Rhinolophus ferrumequinum: one gene and its partners. The protein of the gene in region 1 interacts with the protein of each later gene in a biochemical or structural test. Links are inferred from orthologs where the notes say so. Each region holds a gene or a part of one and is shown in the gene's direction. Other genes may lie near its edges.

The links. The genes of interacting proteins can lie anywhere in the genome.
Region 2: the proteins of ERBB3 (region 1) and SHC3 form a complex in vitro, tested with the Homo sapiens proteins (2 studies listed by BioGRID and IntAct, with this or other methods). The link is inferred for Rhinolophus ferrumequinum from reciprocal best matches to the Homo sapiens genes ERBB3 and SHC3.
Region 3: the proteins of ERBB3 (region 1) and RASA1 form a complex in vitro, tested with the Homo sapiens proteins (2 studies listed by BioGRID and IntAct, with this or other methods). The link is inferred for Rhinolophus ferrumequinum from reciprocal best matches to the Homo sapiens genes ERBB3 and RASA1.

Annotation. Positions count from the first base shown.
Region 1 is NC_046293.1:55,448,982-55,456,715, forward strand, and holds the start of ERBB3 (receptor tyrosine-protein kinase erbB-3), read left to right. Parts: upstream 1-4,713; 5' UTR 4,714-4,854; coding exon 4,855-4,936; intron 4,937-7,734. UniProt on the Homo sapiens protein: Tyrosine-protein kinase that plays an essential role as cell surface receptor for neuregulins.
Region 2 is NC_046295.1:4,784,417-4,791,380, forward strand, and holds the start of SHC3 (SHC-transforming protein 3), read left to right. Parts: upstream 1-3,946; 5' UTR 3,947-4,297; coding exon 4,298-4,753; intron 4,754-6,964. UniProt on the Homo sapiens protein: Signaling adapter that couples activated growth factor receptors to signaling pathway in neurons. Involved in the signal transduction pathways of neurotrophin-activated Trk receptors in cortical neurons.
Region 3 is NC_046290.1:56,677,613-56,684,571, forward strand, and holds the start of RASA1 (ras GTPase-activating protein 1), read left to right. Parts: upstream 1-3,941; 5' UTR 3,942-4,507; coding exon 4,508-5,025; intron 5,026-6,959. UniProt on the Homo sapiens protein: Inhibitory regulator of the Ras-cyclic AMP pathway. Stimulates the GTPase of normal but not oncogenic Ras p21; this stimulation may be further increased in the presence of NCK1.

The DNA of each region.
Region 1 (7,734 bases):
CAGGCTAAATCTATTAGATATGTGGAGAAGAAATAAGAATAAAAGGAATGATATAATCAATGAACCAGAGAAGAAATCAAGAGAGCTCTAACTAGAATGATAGACAAAAAAAAAAAAAGATGCAAATAGGCAAAATACAGAATGAAAATGGGAAACAGACACAACAGATTAAAAAAAAATAGCAACAGTATTTATTATTAATAACCATACACTAATGAATTTATAAACCTAGATGAAATAGATAAATTTCTGGAAAAGTATAAACAGCAGAATGGATCAAGAAGAAATTCAAAACTTAGGGGTAGCTGGTTAGCTCAGTTGGTAGAACGGGGTGCTCTTAACACCAACGTTGCCAGTTCGATCCCTACATGGGTCACTGTAAGCTGCGCCCTCCACAAAGATTGAAACAACTACTTGACTTGGAGCTGATGGGTCCTGGAAAAACACAAATAAATAAAAAAAGTTAAAAACAAAAAGAAATTCAAAACTTGAAAATACATTGAAGAAATTAAAATGTTAATAAGAGACTTCACTACCCAAAAGTCTCAACCCAGATGATTTTACAAATATGTTCTACTGACTTTAGTCAAGTTCAAGAATAGCTTCTATTGAGAAATGGTTTCTTACTACTTCATACAAGTTTTTCAGAAACTAGAGTGTGCAGATAATTATTTTTTAATACACAGTTTGATTAAGTTAACTAGTATTCTATTTAGGATATTGTATATACATATATGTGAGATGAATCAATAACTTATTTCATGCATCTTCATTATCCAGTTTTAGAATCAAGATAACTACTATTAATTGGGTAGTATTGTTGTTATACTCAGAACATTTTTTAATGTTCTTATTAGTTCTAATTGTGTATGTGTTGTTTTTTGTTTGTTTTTTTGCATTAATCACTCTTGCAGGGGCAATATGTTATATGAAACTTACTTGGTGTATACCTTTTACTTTGCCTAAGTATTTACTTGACAAGTCCCTGAAAACTTCTCCCCTAAAAATACCTAAACACAAATACCTATTTTTACTATGTAGTACTAGTATTTTTTATTATTAAAATCTACTATCAACAAGTGATGCTTAAACAACTGAATATATACATGCTGGGGTGGGGCTGCGGGAGATTACGGGGACTAGGAAAATGATTACCAAAGGGCAAGAGAAAGTTTTCCTGGGTGATGGATATGTTCATTATCTTGATTGGATTATATACCTATGCCAAAACTCATCAAATTGTGACTTAAGATGTACAACTTATTATATATCAATTATATTTAAATTATACCTCAATAAACGTGCTGCAAGCGTGGGGAAGAAAGTCTTTAAAAATATCAAGATCACAAACCATAAGTAAAATTGACTAATCAGATTATACCAAAGGACTTTTGTTCAGTAAACAAGTTATTGACAGAGTTAATGAAGAAAGTTGAGAAGAGATATTTGCAATGTCTAAAAACAACAAAAGGAAGAACATTTGAGATTTTGCTCCCTGGCATATGTTGTCAGTTTGACTCAAATAAACTCATAAAAATTCTAAAATAAATAAATAAGTAAATAAGTAAATAAATAAATAAAATTAAACCAACAAAGGACTAATATCTGAAATACATAACAAACTGCTGCAAATCGATATAAAGCATGAAAATCCCTATAGGAAAATTGGCAAAGGAAAATGAATAGGCAATTCATAAAAGAGAAACAAAGGAAAAAATGTTAGAAGACACTCAAACATATTAGTAATTATAGAAATGCAATGTGATATTTATTTATTTATTTAAACATTCACCGTATTTTTTTTTAACTTTTATTTATTCAAGTGTGTTTTTCCAGGACCCATCAGCTCCAAGTCAAGTAGTTGTTTCAATCTAGTTGGGGAGGGCGCAGCTCATCCTGGCCCATGTGGGGATCGAACCGGCAACCCTGGTGTTACCAGCATCACGCTCTAACCAACTGAGCTAACCGGCAGCCCCTGCTATGTGCTATTTTAAATTCATGGCAAATTAAAAAAAAAATGGAAACCTGAATAATGTCAAGTATTGGTGAGGAAGTTGGGATACAGAAATCCCACTACTTATGGTGTAATATTCCAGAGTGTGGTTTATTATGCATAAGAACCAAAGGAGACACATACAAGGGTATTTATTTCTATTGCAACATCGCTGTGGTAGCCAGAAACAAGAGGCAATCGTTGGAGTGATGAACAAATAAAGCATAGGAATTCACATGACAGAATACCTTGCAGCAGTTAGGAACAAAGGCCATGGGGTCAAAGAAAGTTTATTTGTTTTGTTGTATGTTTTTTTAAAAGACGGCAGGTGTTACAGTACATTTGTATGTTAATGGGAATGATCTAGTAGAAAGGAAATTTGATACTATAGGAGAAAGGGGATAATATAGGAGAAAGGCAGGAAGGAATGATCTGAGATGTAGAACTGGAGGGTGAATTGGGGTAAGGGATGGGAATGGGGGAGTGACAGCTTTAATAGCAGCAAGGACAATTCATTATAACAAGATGGAAGTCAGAGTATATAAGTGAAGATGGAGGAAAATTGGCCAGATTGGTGGTAGAAAGATAAGGATGTTTTCTTTTGATTACTTTTATTTTCACAGTAAAATAAGAACCAAAGTCATCAGATAACAAATAAGAAAGATAAAGGAATTCTGGATAACTGTAGCTTTTCTAAAATACGGCCTCCTTTCCTTTATTTATTCAGTTAGGGTAGCACCCAATAGAGATGGCCCCTCACTTGTCAGCTTTATCCAGTGTTTATATCCCTATGTTTCTCTAATTATTGAAGAATGGATACCAGCAAACACACCTTGGGATCTAGCTGGGAAAGGGAGAGGTGGGGTTGGTGATAGCTGGAATAAATACAGCTAGTATTCATTGAATTCTTCTTTAAAGGTCCAGTGCAACACAATAATTAAGAGCTCTACCTGCCTTTTCTCATTAAATTCAAACAACAACCTTTATAAATAGACAAAACTGTTTTACAAACAAACTAAGGAGGGTTTCCTCCTTCAGAAACAGTGTCTTTGAACACTAAATTGAGATGGGTAATAAAACAAAAGGCGCCTTAAGATGGTATTTGTTCAGTTATCTGATGGGAATCTGATCAGAAGCAGATGAAGCTCCAGTATCAGTGTGACATAAGAAATCCTCAGCAAAAACCTGAGCCCCTCTTCCTAATCACCTGATCCACTGTCACCAAGTACATGACCTTGGAGAAGTTACACATTTTCCAGTTCCATAAAATGTAGACTGAGGTCCCTTAGCATACATTTTTATGTTAAGTAAAACATTCTGTAAGTTTGAGGAAACGCTTGCAAATTAAGTGGTATATGTGTGTATATGTTAAGGTTTCGCTGACGTTGATTACTACTGTATTATGATTGTTATGCAAGTGGTCAGGGCAAGGCCAACGCCCTCCGGCAAAGGTAAGCCTCCAGCAGAGAGTGGACCCTCTAGGGTGTATATCAATACCGAGCAAGTTTAAAGAACTGTAGCCGGTAGTCTAGGGTCGGAGTGAGAGGCAAAATTTTTCTTCATCAACTATTCTCGACGTCTTCAGGCTAAAAACTGTGAAGAAAATAATTAACTCTCTGGCTAAAATCCGGAATGCCAATTGTGGAGCCTCACTGCCACGGGTTCCGCACCAGGGGGCGCCCGGCGGATCCGTCCCGAGACTAGCCGGATTTGGGGCTGCCACTCGCAGAGCGCCCGACCGCCTCTGGCCAGGATCCGGGAGCTGGTGGTGGAGATGCCAGGGATCCAGGCCATTCGTGGACTTAGTCTCTAGTGCCCTCTCCATGTCCTCTTTCACCACCCCCTCCTCCTTCCCAGCTCCAGCCCGGGCTTGGAAGGCGCCAGGGAAGGTGTGAGCGCCTGTGGTGGGGATAGTGTGCCCATCTAGGTCCCCAGAAGAGCTTTAGGAATTCCCGCCGCCCCGACGGCGCGGTCAGACTCCTGTGGAAGAGGAGGCAGCTGTTCTCCCAGGCGGCCGTGGGGGGCAGCAGAGGGGATGGCGACAGGTGCGGGAGCCCCTCCCGGGGTGGAAGTGGAAAGGCGGGCTCCGGGTCTGTTCCCAGGCTGGAAACCACCCCCGCCCCTCAACCAAATCCCCCGGAGAGACCCGGCCGGCGCCGGGTCTGGAGGAGGAAGCGGCCGGAGACAGTACAATTTCACGCGGCCTTGGGGCTCGGGTTCCTCGGCAGGGTAGATGAGTTATGGGGTTTCGAGGGGTTTCCGGGGAAACTGAGGTGAACTGAGCGTGAGGCAAAAATATCCTCCCCCTCAAAAGCACAGAGAGAAACGTTCACATTCGGAGAGAAAAATCCCCCAAGTGACCCAACCGGCTAGGGTAGTTGAGTGATTTGGTTAATGGGCGAGGCCAACTTTCAGGGGGCCGGGCTTTGGCGCTCTCTCCCCACCCCCATTACCTTACCCCTTTGGAGTCATTTGGGGGCGTTTGGAATCTTGACCTCCCCTTAGTCCAGCTCCCAAAGAAAAATTCGGGTGAGACCCATCTTGGATCCGCTTGGCCCAGCTGCGGGGCACTGGGCGTGGGGCGTGCTGGCGGCGGGTGGAAGCTCCAGTAGTCCCCACGCCAGCCTCGCGCCCGCGGGGGCGCGGCCGTGACTCACCCCCTCCCTCTGCGCTCCCTCAGACACACACCCCTCCCCTGCCATCCCGCCCCGGACTCTGGCTCCAGCTCCGGTTGCAGTTTGCAACCTCGTCCGCCGCAGCTACCAGTTCGCGGGAGGCTCAGGTGGCTCCGCTTCGATGTCTTAGTCCAGGGGCCCCCGGGGCCGGATTCGGCTGGGCTCCGCTCACCCTCCGCTGGAGTCATGAGGGCGAACGGGGCTCTGCAGGTGCTGGGCTTCCTTCTCAGCCTGGCCCGGGGCTCCGAGGTGGGCAACTCACAGGCAGGTAAGCGGCGAGTGAACACAGGCAGGCTCGGAACCTGGGATTCCGAACTGAGTGCGCGGAATCCTGGGGCAGCCGCAGGAGATCGGGTGGCGCGAGCCTGGGGATGCTGACCCCGGATCTGCTGGGATCACCTGGGCAGGGACCGTCTGGCTCGGGTTCGAGGCGTGGGACCGGGGGAGATGGGATTCCTGGACCACCCCCTCCACCACCACCACCTCCTCCCTAGTGCATCGCCGACCCTCTAATTTGCCCTTTGCGATAGGACTGATGCCGAAAGAGTTCACACTTCTGGGGGGGCCCTGCAGGGAGGGGAGCTGGGACTTCCATTCTGTAAACGTAAGATGATTGGAGGTGGAGATCTTGGAGAAAGGGGGGGTGTCTCAGTTTGCTCCCCAGTCCCTTGCCCACCCTCACCCCCCTCCCATCCCCGGGTTTCAGCAACCTCCAGTTTTGTTGTTTTGCCGACAGGGTGGAGCTATGGAAGGGTTGGAGGGGGTTGTTGTTCTCTAGTGTTGGAAAAACAAGAGAGGCACCTCCTCTTCCGTGAGTGAGCCTGCCCTGGGGAGGGCTGAGATTAACCAGTGAGCCAAGTCCAGGTGATACCAGGGTGAGAGGCCATGCAGAGTATGATTGTCCTCTTTCCCTAAAAACCATAAAGCTGGCTGGTCCCAACATGACCAACCTTTCTTTGTCAAGATCCAGAGCAAATCAACTAAAATTTACTGAGCATCTACTATACGCAAAGGCCTGGACCTGGAGCTGAGCTGTAGTAGCCTCAAGGATTTCCCGCCTGTTTGTCTTTTCTCTCCCCAACGTGAGGGCTAACAGGGCTCCTCTCCCACCCTCTGAATTCCTGTCCTTCCTGGGGAGTTCTTCCTAGACCCAGCTTCTCTCCCACCACCATTCTGTTTATTGTCCGACTCTGTCTCTAGGAGTCTAGAGGAGTCAGATTGCTCTTCTATTCCTCCTCCCACTCCCATGCCATCTGAGTCCACCCCTTTGGGGTGTCTCTGGACACCTGAGGGGTGCTGATGTTGCTGGCATTGAAGGAATCCTGTTGATCTTCTCCCCTCCCCCTAGATCTCAGCTCTGGGGTTTGGCACAGCCAGGGCCCCTTCCCCAGAGTGGGAGTGGGAGAAACACCTGTGCTTCCCCCACAGTTGCTGGGCCTAAATTTAGACCCTGGGATCTTGAGATGTGAACACTCCCAGCTGGTGGAGTTGGGGGGGGGGGACAGGGAGGGCTGGGGACTAGAGTGGGAGGGACCTAGTAGTGGGACTCTATCATTGTCCCTTTCAGACCCCTGGAATCTTCTACCAGGAACCCTGGCTACCTTCCCTGAGGGAGCCAGGGGGCAGGCTTGGTTGGGTCTCTTTACCCTTTATCTGGATCATGCAGCCTCTGGGCATCCGGCCCTGTCTCAGTCCTTCTATAGCCCCTTTGTCCTGACTGTGATGGGGGTGGGGGACGTTGGAGTGGAGGCCTGTGCTTGTGGAGGGGCTGCAGATTCTTGCTGAGACCCACCCCAGTACCCTACCCTAGGAGGGCCTGTGACACAGCCCCTCCCTGTGCCCCTGCTCCCTGAGTACAACAGGGATTGTTATAATTCCCCTCCCCCCCGCCTTCTCCCAAGGTGCCTCTTCAGAGGTGTTCATACTCTCTTCCCGCTCAGGCCCTTTGCTCCCTGTGTATGTAGTATGGACTTTACCCTCTGGGTGGCAGGGAACTGGGACCTCTTAACAGTCGCCTTCCGAGCACGGACTCAAAGTCTGCACAATGGGCTGGTGGAATGGATGGGGCCACCTGAAATTCTTCCTAATAAAGAAACCCAGGAACAGAGCTAGTATAGATTTCTGGGCCAGCAGAGGAGCTATCTGTGTGTCTCACGAGTGTGTGCACGTCCACACACACAGCCCACTTCCCTGTGCAGAAATCTTGGCTCCTCCCTTATCTGGAGAGAAGGGTTGGCGCCTTGACTTGGAAGAGGGGGTGTCCTGCCAGGAAGGGGGTTGGGGTGGGGCTGTTCCAGAAAAGACTAACCTTCCTAGTCTCTTTCATTTCAGCCCAAGGACCCTGGAGTCCCTAGGTTTCCCCGGGAGTTGCCTGCCTACTTACCCTTCTTTGTCTGCCCCGTTCCCTTTGTGGGGAATGATAGGGAATGGGAGCCCTCAAAGTGGTCAGACCAGGGATGTATTTAGGAGGAGGGGTTGGGACCTCATCAGACTTCCTCCATTCCCACTCCTGCCTCCCACTAAGCTGCCACCGCCTCAGGGAAGGGTGGTTGGAACAGGTGGTATCTTCCCCACACCCTCCCCACAGTCTTTCTCTGAGCCAGAGGAAAGAGATAGGGATAGGGCTTCAGGGTCAAGATTTCCTGTAGCCCCTACATCGTTTGTACTTACTTACAAGGTGAAGCAAACCCCCAGACTGACATTCCTCATGGACCTCAATTCTAGGCTCTACCTAATGTGAGTGAGGATTGCCATGTTGGAAGGCTTTTTAACTACTCTTCAGACAGTGAAACTGAGTGGAAGGCTTAGAATGGGGGGAGTTTGCTGCTCTTTTGCTCCAGGCCTCTCTATATTTGCTGAAGAATACTCTAGGCTGGAAAGTGTGTTGGGATAGGGGAAGGGAGTGAGAAGGGAAGCCGGAGTAGGGTAGGCAACCAGCTCCTTATCTTCCAGTTTTAAAGACAAAGCTCACATTGACCCCACCACCACTACCAGAGCTCCCCCCCGCTAGTGAGGTCACTTGTCTGTGCCCAAGGCTTGAGGGTGGAGGGGGGTGCTGCTGAGGAC
Region 2 (6,964 bases), on another chromosome or scaffold:
ACATCCTCAGGCCAAGCTCAGCACACTCCCCTCTGGATAGTTTTTGTATCTCACACACATTAAAACTTTCGCATAGCATTGTACTTGGTTATAATGCTAATGTTAGATTTTCTGTCTGTCTTGCTAGGATGAAACCTTCTGGGGGCAAAGCCCCTCCCCAGGGCGCAGCTCGTGGCCCATCCTTAGGAATGCACTGGGAGCCGTCTAGAAGTGGGAAAATGACAGGAGAAGGACTCTCCCCAAGGCCTCCAGAAAACACGCAGCCCTGCCCACCCGTGGACTTTTTCCCATGGGACTTTTTTTTCTTAACTTGGAGTTTTAATTGTGTACATAAATAGCAACATGAGAACAAGGAGTTCTAAGGCTTGTACATTATCTCTAGGTGAAAGGATTTCTGATTAGTCCCCTCGTCACCCAAGATAACCAAGCATCACCCAAGATAACCAAGAGGCCTAATACAGTTTTTCCTGAAGACGAAAGCCAGTTTATTACATTCAGTACTGACTTCTCTGCCATTTTTCTGAAGAAATACTGGCTTACTGTATTGGAATACTGGCGTTTCCAATGTTTACCGATAACTGATTAAAATGGACAGAACATGGAGTATTCTACTTATTTCTGGGTGAATTCTTCACATTTCCTGGCTTTTGAAAGTTCTCCTTCCACAAATCTTCTATGACTATGTGTCCTCGTAAACCCCAGGCATATAATTTCTCCCACTGACCTGGACAAATATGATGGCTTGTTGTGGATAATAAAGAGAGGCAGCTAATTCCATGAGACCAGATGGATAGACCAGCTTTTTTATTTTTGAACTTTTAGCCAAAAGAAGTCCAACAATGCCAGCAAACCCAATAACACCAAGTCTTGGAAAAAAAACTAGGAGGTGCATTTTGGAGATATTCATAGCTGTTTAACCCCCACTAACAAACTTTGCATCTTGGGCTCAGTTTGGGAGTGTATTTCCTAACACCAACTTGTACATGGCTGGCAATACTGTCAGAGATGTGAGATGCTTTCTTCAAGTTGAGTCTTTGGCTCCTCCACATATTTAGATTGACCCTCAGGAACAGAGTAGAGTGAAAGCTCATTAACCCCCACAGAAGTTTTGTGAGGTGTGTCCTTTTTTCTGTGATGCATAGACTTTGAAGGTGAGCAGACTCAGGCTGGCCGGCCCCCAAAATCTCTGAATTACCTTGAACATGGCGCTGGCAACGGCGGCTCTATCCCATGTGACTTCTGACCTATAGCACTGGGAGGTAATAAATTTATGTCACTTGAAACCACTGATTTTGACGTTACAGCAGCAATAGAAAACCAGTACATTTTTAAATGAATAGATTTAAAAAGAAAAACCGCAAATCTGGAAAGGCTACCCGGCTGCCTAAATGACCCAGGCTGCCTGGTGTTCTTGAGTCTCAAGGCTGACTTCTAATGATTTCTTTTTCTGTTTTCTTCTGTGCTGCCAAAGTATGAGAATTGTATCTATCATCCATTTCTGCGTTGTCACAGAGATGACACTGGGGATAGTGTCTACAACAAGCAGAAACACCCCTCTGAGGCCCTCAGGGTGTTCCTGGAGGGAGGGGCCATGAGCTCCTGGGCTGGGCTGGAGGCTTCTCTTGTGGTGCTGAGCTGCTTTTGGGGTTTCTTTCTGCTTTTCTTCTGCATTCCAAAACGCTGATACCACCTTCTTGATAAGTGACGTTTCACTGTACTATTGTGCTCTTGGACTATTAATCATCCTCTTTGATTTTATATCTTTTTACATGTAGTCAATTATGTTGCTATTTATATTTTAAAATGGCCAATTTCCCTCCATTTGCCTCAGCGCAATAAAAAATAAATCTGTTGGCTAAAGGGTTAACAGTGTAGCTTTGGGTTTTTTTGTTGTTGTTTTTTTCTTTTTGGAGACTTAGACGTGCAGGTGCGTTTTTATATGCCTTTCACAAAAAGAATCCAGGGCGAGGTAACTAGGTTTTGAATGTGCCTTCACTGTACATTCATAATAAATTCTGAACCGAATGGCACATTCATGGTTGCTCCCTGATTTAAATGAATGGCTGAATGAAAATTTGGGGGCACAGCTCACCTTCAAGAGGGCAATTCTGTTCACATTCTTACCTGACTCACCGTTCTTGATTTTTCTTGAAAAACTAGTTTTTCCTCTCTCCACAACAGCGGTCCCTTCCTCCCTGCATCTTTGTATTCAGGCAAGCTTTTTTTCCCCCCCACACTGCCGTTGGATGAAAGATCCCGCCTTTGATTGAAATGGAACCTTCCACTATTGAGCAGGCCTTTGCTGAATGAGTCATCGGGGCGGTTGCTCATTGGCTGAGGCCGCTGGAACCAGGGGATTGCCTGGCGCCCGCTGCAAAGACCTACTTCATTCACAGAAACGTTGGCTCGCTCGCTAGCCCTTTCATTCACACAAACAGCATTTCATTCACATTTTGCTGTTTTTGTCTGCTTCTAATGAAGATCACGGTTTGGGAATGATAGGGCATTTTCGCTTTAGATTTGCGGGGGTGGGGTGGGGGGTTGATTACCACCCCAATCATCTATGGGGTGTACATTTTGCTGTTGCTATGCAAGCAAGGGGAAGGGAAAAGATGAGAGCTGTGCGCCTGCCCTGTTAGGCCTGCGGCCTTGAGCCGGGAGCCGCTGCTCCCCTGTGTTCCTGTGTCCAGCAGCCGGCCCGCAGGGACTGGCACTGGTTACAGTTGCTCCATAGAGCTCTTCAAGGCTGGCTGCTTCATGTGTCACTTGTCTAGTCGTGGGTGTGAGAAGACTCAGGGTGACCTGATAACGTGCTAGAGGTAAATTCATTTGCTTGCACAGAGGTAGCTGGAAACTTGGACAGGGACTGTCCAAAGACTGTGTCAGGCAGGCTATTTCAATGCCCAAGGAAGATGAGAAAGACAGCAGAGCCCACGGTGACAGGGGTCGTGGGTTTGAGCCCCGCAGACCTCCGGGGGGCTGCTCAAATGCCCTGCTCTCTGAGAGGGAGGCCTGTGAGGTTCTCTTGCAGCCTGAGTCTGATTCCTGAAAATAAAAAGGGGGCATTTTCCTGCGGATTTGATGTGTAAGGACAGCAGCTGCATTTTTTCTTTCCCTTACTGCAGGGCTGCAAGCCACAACCGAAGGGACATTGACATGTATTTGTAGTGTTTCTTAGGCATTTTTCCAGAGCTTGAACACATTCAGTTAGAATAAAGCTTCAAGCACAGACCCTTTTTTGGAATGGATTTCTGGAGCCTGTTGCCATTCATCAAAGAAGCACTCTTCTTCTTCTTCTTCCTTTTTTTTTATTTTTGGAAGTAGATTTTCAACTTAACCCTGGCTGAGAAAGTCTGCTGTAAATTAGCAGGGGAGAGACCTTTACTGGCTCTGTGCAGGAGTTCATATGTAGATTTTTTATTTGTTTGTTTTGGAGGAACTGTATTGCCACAAAGACATTTGTCTTGGGCGCTCTGTTAATTTGAAAAGAAATATCCAGGAAAGTGGTAATTTATGTTCACCTGGGATTGAATATCCCCTCTACCCACACTTTTTTTTTTTTTTGCTATGTAACAATTCCTGCTTGTTTTCCAAATCAGAATTCACGAGGATCCGCTGAAGATCTTATTCTTAAAAAGACTTCGTCACATTTTAACGCATCGCTGTCAGATACTTACAGGCTCACACAGATGGGCTGATGGGGAAGAGAAAACCCTAGCGTAGAATAATGGGTTTCAGAAAGTTCATCAGATCATCTGAAAAAAACTGGATTTACTTCTGGCACAAATGCTGAAGGGGGGATGGGAAAGTGAAAAATCAAAGGTTGGAAGGAAATATCTGGGAAGGTAGAAAAAGGAAATTTGAGAATTGATTGGCTCTAGTGTGCCGTTAGTGGGTGTATGTGGTTTTTTTTCTTCTTCTTTTTTTTTTTTTTTGCTACAGGAAGTGATTTGCAGTGTTCACCGAGCCTTTGTTGAGAAGGGTCTCCTCTCGGAGTGAGTCATGCTTTTGCTGTGAGCAGCTCCAAGCAGCTGGGCGCTCATCAGAGGAAACTATGACTTTTGAAAAGCGAGCGTGCCGCCCTCAGCAGCCGCGTCCGGGGCCGGGGCTACGCGGCCAAGGCGGCGCGGGGTGTTAGCGGTGGGAAGCCTGCGCTCCCTCCAGCGCCCCCGACCCCGCCGCGGTCCCGGCCGCTGCGTCCACCCCGGGAACAGCTGCTCGCCTGCTATGCGTGGCAGCCCGCGCCCGCGCCCGCACCTGCAGCGCCCGGGCGGATGCGGCGAGCCCACGGAGGGGCATGCTTCCACGCACCAAGTACAACCGTTTCAGGAATGACTCGGTGACATCGGTCGATGACCTTCTGCACAACCTGTCGGTGAGCAGCGGCGACAAGGTCTCGGCGGCGCGCGCGGCCCCGGCAGCGGCCCCCTACCTAGTGTCTGGAGACGCGTTGCGCAAGGCGCCCGACGATGGCCCGGGCAGCTTGGGCCACCTGCTCCACAAGGTGTCCCACCTGAAACTCTCCAGCTCGGGCCTCCGCGGCCTGTCGGCGGCCAGGGAGCGGGCGGGCGCGCGGCTCTCGGGCAGCTGCAGCGCGCCCAGCCTGGCCGCCCCGGACGGCAGCTCGTCCCCCGGCCCCCGCGCCCCGGCCATGCGCGCCGCCAGGAAGGGCCGGCCCGGCGACGAGCCACCGCCCCGCGCGCCCCCAGCCAGTGAGCAGGTGCTGGGGGCCGGAGTCACCTACGTCGTTAAGGTAGGTGCGGACACGGGCAGCCGGGTGGGGAAGCTTGGGTCCGCCACGGTGGGTAGCCTTGGAGGCCAGGAGGTGCGCACTCCTTCGCAGCTAGCTTGCCTGGCACCGCAAACGCTCCGGTTGCGCATCCATTGCGAGGTTTAAAAACGGTGACCTCATTCTGTCTTGGTTTGCCTTGGCTCCACTCCTTTGGCATGCCTTCGCCACTTCGCTTTGCCATGTGTCCGGCCTGTGCTCCTTAGGCATGGGCCCCTATCCCTGAGAACTGTACCTCAGGCCTACCTAGGACACACTTGAAAGAACTGGGCAGCCCCTGCGATGAGAAATGCAGGTGGTGCCACTACTTCTGCTGTGTTTGCCCCAGGCAAGGTGGATGGTTTCCTTCTCCCCACAGCAAGAATTTCCAGCTCCTGGTCATGCCGGCCAAATGCTGTCTTGTTTTATGTAAGACAAGCTGTACTTTCTTACCCATCAAGGTTTTCCTTCGTGTCTGCCTTTCACTCCTACCTAAAGGTTTTGGTTCACAGCAGCAGGAGGAGAATTTGGGGCTGTTTTTCCCTAGGGACTGTAGTTTTTCATTTAAACATATTGAAGGGAACTGAGCTTGTGGCGTCTGGAGCCTGGAAAGGAGATTTTTCCTCCAATACAAAAATTATAAAATCACGCCTGATATGGTCAATAAAATTCCTCCCTTAGGCAAGTATTTTGTGATGTTTAAGGAACAAATATCACTTCTCGGCCTTTTGGCTAAGATCATGTGTAGGAACAAACACCCAGCACTGACCATTGGCCTGCCCCACTTCTGTTCTGCCTTTAGAGAGCAGGGAGCTATCACAGTGCTAGCTCCACAGCTGGGCAGACGTCCCAGACCAGGAGACGGGATCAGAGGTGCATTGTTTCAGTCTGGTCACCCCAAGGCATGGCATTTTATTTAAGAAAAACAATAAGACAAATCTATCCCTATGGTGTTGTCAATTGAGAAACCTGCAGGATACCTGGTCTGTACAAACTGGCTGCAGATCCAGTTTAAAAATTCAACAGACGACATTCTGAGGTAAAATGTTGTATCTGGGTAATTTTGGAATCAGAATATTAAAGGAAACAGTTAACTTTGTGGATTATCTGTATCTAAAAAGTACTGACAAAGGATGTAATCATCAGTGTTAAACATTGAGCCGCAAAGGCTGCTTCGTCTTAGCCTCTGAAAATTGACTAATGTATTTCACAAAAGAGATGTAAGTCAGCATAAAATATATACATCTGGTTGAGTTTATTATAAAAGAAAGTGAATATTCTTTTTGTATTCTTTCTTTAATATATATAACCAGGAGCCAAAAACAAAAAGACAAAAACCAAACAAAACCCCCCGACAACTTTGAGGTTAAACAGTGACATCAGAATATATCACGTCCAGCATGTTAGTATAATTGCTATAAATAAATAAATAAATAAATAAATAAATAAATAAATAAATAAAAGCCTATGTTTAAAAGAGACAAATCAACCTTGGCACAGCTTTCTATACTTGCCATGTTGAATATAGAGGGTAGTTTTCAAATGGAAGGAGAATTGTCAAACTTTTGCCTTCATTTATTTATTTTTAGTTTCAGGTGTACAAAACAACATAATGAATAGACATTTACACCCCTCACAAGGTGATAACCCCGCTCCCAGTCTATTATCCCTCAGACATCGTATATAGCTGTTACAATACCACTGACTATATTTCCTATGCTATATTTTACATTTCGTGAATATATATGTATATATATGGTGTGTATACATATATGGTATATATATATAATTATAGTTTACATTCAATATTATTTTGCATCAGGTTTAGGTGTACAGCGCAGTGGTCAGGCATCTACTTTTGCCTTTAAAGATTTCCTTAAAAAAAAAAATTCACTTGGCTTAGTGCTTTGCTCTTGCTTTTTGAAGAATGAAGGCAGACATCCAGCTCTCCAGGTCGGTCGTGGCTGAGTAATGATGAACCACTAAAACAAGTCTGCCCTGCTGGGCCATTCTGTTGGTGTAAGGTTGTGACACCCAGAAGCAGCTACTCAAACAGGCATAGCGCTGAGTCGGGTCTGCCCAGGGCCTTCTGGGGCTTGGGGTCACTTTGTCATGCTTCACCTAAAGGGTTGCAGTGAGCTGGGGTGCATAGCATGGCTAGTTAGTGCCTGGTGCCATTGCCTGCTCCATCCTCAG
Region 3 (6,959 bases), on another chromosome or scaffold:
ATTACCTTTCACACACTGAGGTATCAAAACTGCAAAATATTTCAGAATGTATTACATTCATATTTGGGATGCCAATATAATCAGAATGAGCCAAATTCATTTTTTAAATTAAATGTTCAGATTCTTTTCACCCACAAGTCTTTGTTCAGCATTTTTGATCATTTAGTCTTCATTAAATACTATGTTTAATTAAATATGTAGAGATACTTTTCTAAAATCATAGATATCAAAATCGCTTTATTAAAGGTAAAAGCTATTTGAATTTTCCTCTTTTGGATATTGTTCTGTTTTTCAGTACCTCCTGTTTAATATTATCTGTGAATTTAATTAACAGACTGTTTACTTCCCTTTGTTAGTTGGTGTTACATAACACCACACCTAGCATCAATTCCTGCAGAATCCCTGTAATGCCTTTCTCCATGTAGATATTTCATTGTTTTTTTAAAAAATTTTTCTTCAGTTTTTGACTCATGAAACTTCAAGGAGTATATCTATGTCAGGAAATTCAGGGGCTTAGAAGAAAAGGAAAACACGGAAGCATAAATTGAAGTAGAAATTAGCAGGAAAAAAGAGAACATGAATGAGAGAAGGGCAAAGGGTCAAGGTGAGAAGAAAAAGAAATAAGGCAATAGACAAAAATAAATGTAGAAACATTTCACTCTTCTGGAAAAAATAAAATGTCACTGAAGGTAGATGACTGATTTGAGATTAAGGAAGTACGCAAGGAAGAGTAAGGATGAAAGCCTACATCTGTCAAATAAAAGAAATATATAACATATTTGAAAATACCTCATCAAAAATACGTGGTAATCTTTTTGGATGAAAAGGACAGCAAAACTGTAAGATTAAATATAAGGTAAGATGTTGGTATTAGTTTGATTTAAAATAGAGTCTTTCTTACTAATTGCACAATTGCTGTCCAAAGATACTGATCTATTCCAGTATTTGTTAAAAGGATGGAGATCTGTTCAAAGCAGTTGGCAAGGATGCCTATCACTGGACTAGGCAGTAGGATAGACCACAGGTTTCTATTTGCAGTATAGTTTTGCAGATACATCCACCTAAAAGTAACTAAAAAACTATATAACTTAGTATCTGATTGGTGTTGGACTTCATTACATATTGGCCTTTAATTGCTAAGGAATGTCAAAAAAGGGGAAGGAGGTAATTTTGCAATTTATAGTAGAGAGTCTGACTTGGAATCTCAGGCAACAGATAGTGTGTGAGCTCTTAGGGAAGAGAGACCAGTGATAACCAAGAGCTGGTGATATCTGCCAGCCCAACCTCCTACATTCAAAAGCTGATGGTGGTAATTGGGATGGATGTGATGCAGGACTGGCATGTTAACACACAGAGTTTTCAAACACAGGTTACATGTAAATTTGTTGGCAGTGGGTGGAATAGGTATTTTGATGGTCTCTTCTAACTGTGAGGATCTAAGTTTAAAAAAAATACAAAATTTCGTCAGGTTGGCCACTATAAGAAGTAGGTCTTCATTATTCTCTTTAGTATTATGGAATTACTTCATTATGTACTTTTTCACGTCCTAATCTCCTTTCTAGAATAACATAGAGTTTAGCAACCCAATACGTACATCTCTTACCCACCTACCTAATGAGTGATACTGAGTTGGCTTTCTCACCTATTCCTCTTTCTTTCAGAACCATTTTTAGGTATTGCATACCTCCTACCTGATTAGCATACTATAGTAAGGTGGTTCTTAAATGGGTAAACTTGGAGGTTCATTAAAACATTAATTACTGCAGTTTCTAATTCAGAGTGTCCAAAATGGGGCCAATGAATTTGCATTTCTAACAAGGCCCTAGGATAATGGTGGTCTGAGACCATTCTTGTGACTAGTCCATCTTCATTCTCCCAAGTGATATACTGTGAAGAAGTAAGCACACTGAAGGAGTCCTCAGGACTACTGTTTAATCAAGTTTGTCAATGATTTGGCAAATAGATTATGCAAACTGCTAAAGTAAAGGAAATTGTCTCTCATGCACCTTTACAACTCTTTTAATAGTCTTTTCCTTTTTTCCCAGGGCCTCTGTAACAGCCCTTTCCCATCCCCAATGTGCTATGTTGGTTTGATCATCCTTAGAGAAAATATCGATCTCAAAGATCAATGTTTACTGGTATTTAATGTGGGATTCCTCCTGGGAGAATTTAAAAGAACGATATATGAATCCAAAAGGGCAAATTACCTATACTGTAATTTCAAACTAAGGGAATGATTCCTCCACCTATATAAATACATATAATAGTGTTTATAAGTTTTATTTATTCATATATATGTGTATATATATAGTGTGTGTGTGTATATATATATACACACACACATACAGAAGGTGCCAAAAAATGTATACACATTTTAAGAAAGGAAAACTGTATTAAAATTGTAATAATACATATCGATAATAAAAGATGACTACAAATCACGTTTGATTTCTGCAATTACAAGAGGTGATTAAAGTGGTTACCATCAGTGTCCAGACACTTCTGATTACGGCAAACTACTGCTTGAGCAATGTTGACCAAAGTCCACTTGTACACATTTTTTTGCGATAATGCATATAATAGTATGTGATAATGCATGTGTTTATAAATACATATTTATTCATATATATGTATGTATGTGTGTCTATGTGTGTGTGTGTATATATATATATATATATATACACACATACATACACGGAGGGTGCCAAAAAACATATACACATTTTAAGAAAGGGAAACTGTATTAAAATTGTAATACTCAATATATACCGGTAACAAAAGATGAATACAAGTCATGTATAGAAGTATAAAAGACAAAACAAAACCCACCTCCTTTTTGGCTATATTAAGGGTGAGATCTCAGTTTATTGATAATTTTTGAATGGGCACTTCCGGATATTCTTGACATTTGCCTTGTTGAAAGTCCTCTTGTGTGTTACATGTGAATTATGGAGCATGCCTTGCTTTCTTTTTCACATAGAAGAGGACAAAAGTGTATTGATTGGTGTGGTATGTAGCACCCCTCCTCTCCACACCTCATTAGTACCCAATAGACTTGGCAATGGCACAGGTGTGTGTGTGTGTGTGTGAGAGAGAGAGAGAGAGAGAGAGAGAGAGAGAGAGAGAGAGAGAGAGAGAGAGAGAGAGAGAAACAGAGGAGGTGAGGTCAATGAAGAAAACAAAACGTGTATAGTCATAGAAATCTGACTTCACAGCCATTATTTCTGCGAAAATTCTTAACGCTTCCCATAGTCTCTCTCCCCCACCCCCGCTCCCCCCGTATCCATTTCGTTTTCTTGAGTTTCACAGCCTAGAGCTTTATTTCATTTTTTTAGTTTGCAATAGTCATATAGTGATTTATATTATGCAACAAAAATGAAAACATTAGTACTGCCTCAACCTTCGAGGCAGTCTGCAAGTCCCCCATCCCAACACCCCTACCCCGGTCCTTGGCCGTTAGGTGTTTGCGCCGCCGGCTAATGGTGTTTTTTCTACCGGTCAGGAAGCTGTGAACTGGCTTTGCAGCATCTTCCGTTCCTTTTCCCCGTCCTTCCTCTCTAGGCTTCTTACCCTTCTGTCTCCTGTTTTCACGGAGCTGAGCGGCAGCTTGCTTAGATACCCACTCTCCCCTTCCCCTCCCCACCCGCCCATCAAACAAAGCCCAGTGAGACAGGCGCGCGCCACTGGCGACACCGATGCGAGAAGCGGCCGCGCCGCCACGCGCTCGAACCGGAGTGGGACAGCGGGCGCGACCGCGCATCGCGCGTCCCCGCTGCTTCCTTCCCTCCGGACTCTTCCTTTTCCTTTCTCCAGGCCCATTCCCCACCCGCTCCCGCAACGCGCCTGTGCAGAAGCGCCCTCTCCCTCCTCCTTCCCCGCCCTTCCTTCCCTCCGCTCCTCCTCCGGTGCTCCGCCTTCCTTTCTCTCTCGTCTATTTCACTGAGAGCTCCAGGTTGGGAGCTGTTCAGTCGACTTCCCCACCACCCCGCCCCCCTTCCTCTTTTCTCCCCACCCCTCCCGTCTCCAGGCCGGTGGAGGATGAAGCGGCTGCAGTGGCCCCAGCCCCAGCAGCGGCACCAGCGGTGGCTGCGGTGGGGGTGGCCGGAACTGGGGTGGTGAAGCGGTGGCGGCGGCAGCGGCGGTGGCCCAAGGAGCGGCAGCCGCCCAGCCGCTTCCCCTGTGCTTCCCTTCCTCTTTAGTGAGCCAGGAAGTTTTTCGCTTCTGTGCATGTATGTGCGTGAGTGTGGGTGTATAGGGGAAGGTTTGGGCGGCGTTTGTGCAGGCGTTGGGTTTTTTGCCCACTTCGCTTCCCGTAACCCGGGCAGCTCGGGAGCCTGGGCTGTGGCCCGAGGAGGGGGCGCGGCGGCGACTCTCCTTTTGTTGTTGTTTCCTCCGCCTGGGGAGCTGAAGAGGGGACGCGTCTGGGTGGGGCGGCTCGGAGCCCGGGCCTGGTGGCCCCCGGGGCTCCCGGGCGGGCTGGGTAAGGCAGAGTAGAGCGGACTTCAACATGATGGCGGCCGAGGCCGGCAGTGAGGAGGGCGGTCCGGTGACCGCCGGGGCAGCAGGAGGCGGCGCGGCCGCGGGCTCGAGTGCCTATCCGGCAGTGTGTCGGGTGAAGATCCCTCCGGCCCTGCCTGTGGCAGCCGCCCCCTATCCTGGGCTGGCGGAGGCCGGAGTGGCCGGGACTCTGGGTAGCGGAGCCGCTTTGGGGTCAGGGTTCCTAGGAGCCGGGTCTGTGGCAGGGACACTGGGGGGAGCCGCACTGTCAGGGGGAGGTGCTGCTGCTGGCGTGGCTGGTGCTGCCGCCGCCGGACCTGGTGGGGAGATGGCTCTCACCAAAGGGACCACTTCATTGCCTGCTGAGAACTTCGGGGCAGGCGGCGGATTCCCTCCTCTGCCACCTCCTCCTCAACTGCCCCCTTTGGGCGCGGGCCTGGGAACAGTGGACGAAGGTGACTCTCTAGATGGACCAGAATACGAGGAGGAAGAGGTGGCCATCCCGCTGACCGCTCCTCCAACTAACCAGTAAGTCAAGACCGCTGTTCAGTGACGGGGAAAGTTGGCTCCTGCAAATAAGTGGAAAAACATACTCGTTCTGTCAGCTATAATTTGTTGTGAAAAGTTTTGAAGCGTCAAGTTCTACGCGTAGGGATTTAATTTGATCACTTATCTTCCCTACGGGCACATTCCCTGGCTTCCTCTGGGAAGATGTGAAGTTTTTAAGATGGGAAGCATAGGGAAATGTGTATCAGGTGACAACCGGATGTGGTTCTACCCCTTCTCAATTGAGGTGGCGTCCTGGGATTCAGCTGAGCTGGCAGCTACCAGGGCAGTCGTAGTCTTATATAGTACTAACCTGTGTGTTCTCTGTTGGAGCTGGATGATTAATTAGAAGTTTTGAATACAAGTATTTGAATGAGTGTTGTACTGATTATCATTTAAAACATGCCTTGGTCAGAATGCTTTGTTTTTGTTCCACTGCAAATTCTAACTTCTGCCTACTGAAAAGCATAGCGATGCAAAAGTTTTTGGATGACTTATGAAAACCTGTGTCAGCGAGAAAGAAAAGTTCTATGACTTACAGGTGTGATTAAGGGCCAGTACTCCTACAGTATCTGTAACTTGTGCCATTGAATTCCTGTGTATTAATATTAGTGCCATTCTTTTATAGTTGAGACTTTGTAAGTACAATATTGAAGTAAAACAAAATTAATAGTGTGCTTCCCTTTCAACGCTTTTCATTGGTGACCAATACAGTATTCTATTTCTAAATTTGACAGTCTACTGCAGAATATATCGAACAAATGACTTTTCCGTATAAAGTTAGTACATCTCTCTTGTTATCTTCATAATTGAATTTAGGTATGTGTTTATGTATGAAGGTGGACCTTGATGAGAGGAAAATGTTGATGTTCGGATGGTGATAGGAGGCAAAACTTGTATAGAACTCTCACAGCTGTCCTAATAGACCTTTAGAATTTCTACAACCTTGGTGAATATCAGAGGAAAAAAAAGGTTTGATTGACAGTTACTCTGGACACTTGAAAGTATTACTTAAAAAAGTTTTTTTGGATAAGCTTCTTTGGAATATTTAGAAAGGACTTTAAAAACAAATTAGGAAAATTCTGTAATACTAGCCTATTCTGTCTTAAGATGTAAGCCTATTCTGTCTTACATCTTTTGATACTTAGGTAGAAAAGTAAAGTTAGTCTTATGTCAGCCATGGTATAGGGGTGTTGTTTTCCTTTATGTTGTTCAATACGAGTTCAATTTTCTTTATCTAATTGTATTCAAACTTACCATGTCAGGTCTAGGTATTGCAGACTTTTCTGAAGGTGTTCTGAGAGTGTTAAAAATTCAGATTTTACACACTGTTTACACACCTTCAAACCTTTTTGAAAAAATCAGTTAAACATAAAGTACCCACTACATACTCAGCATTATAGTTATAATAAAGTGCAACTTTTCATACTGAAAGAATATAGTCTTATGCCAGTTCATAATTGAGTTAGGCATATTTAGTATATTGTAGTTTTAAATTTTTTACAAATAAAATTTGTAGAGCAATTTTAGATTCACAGCAAAATTGAGCAGAAAATACAGAGCATTCCCATTAAGTTTTTTGTAATAAACATAAATACGTACGTAACGTAGGAAAATTGTGTTTGTGAGGAGTCCATTGTATGAGATTTTCATTTGGTATTATGTATTTGAGAATAAAAATATTTGTGTGACTATGTATATGAGATTTGTTCTATTTCTAAAAAGTATCCTCCATTTCTAGTATGTTTTTTAAGTTTGCCACTGAGAAGTACAAATTTCCCTCTTTTCTTTATCTTAGATATCAACCCAGAGTCATTGGAGGCAATACAGTGTAGTGGTTAAGCGTGCAAATTCTGAAGTTAGACAAGATTTGGGTTGGAATCCTGACTACCACTTACTAGCTGTGTGATCTTGGA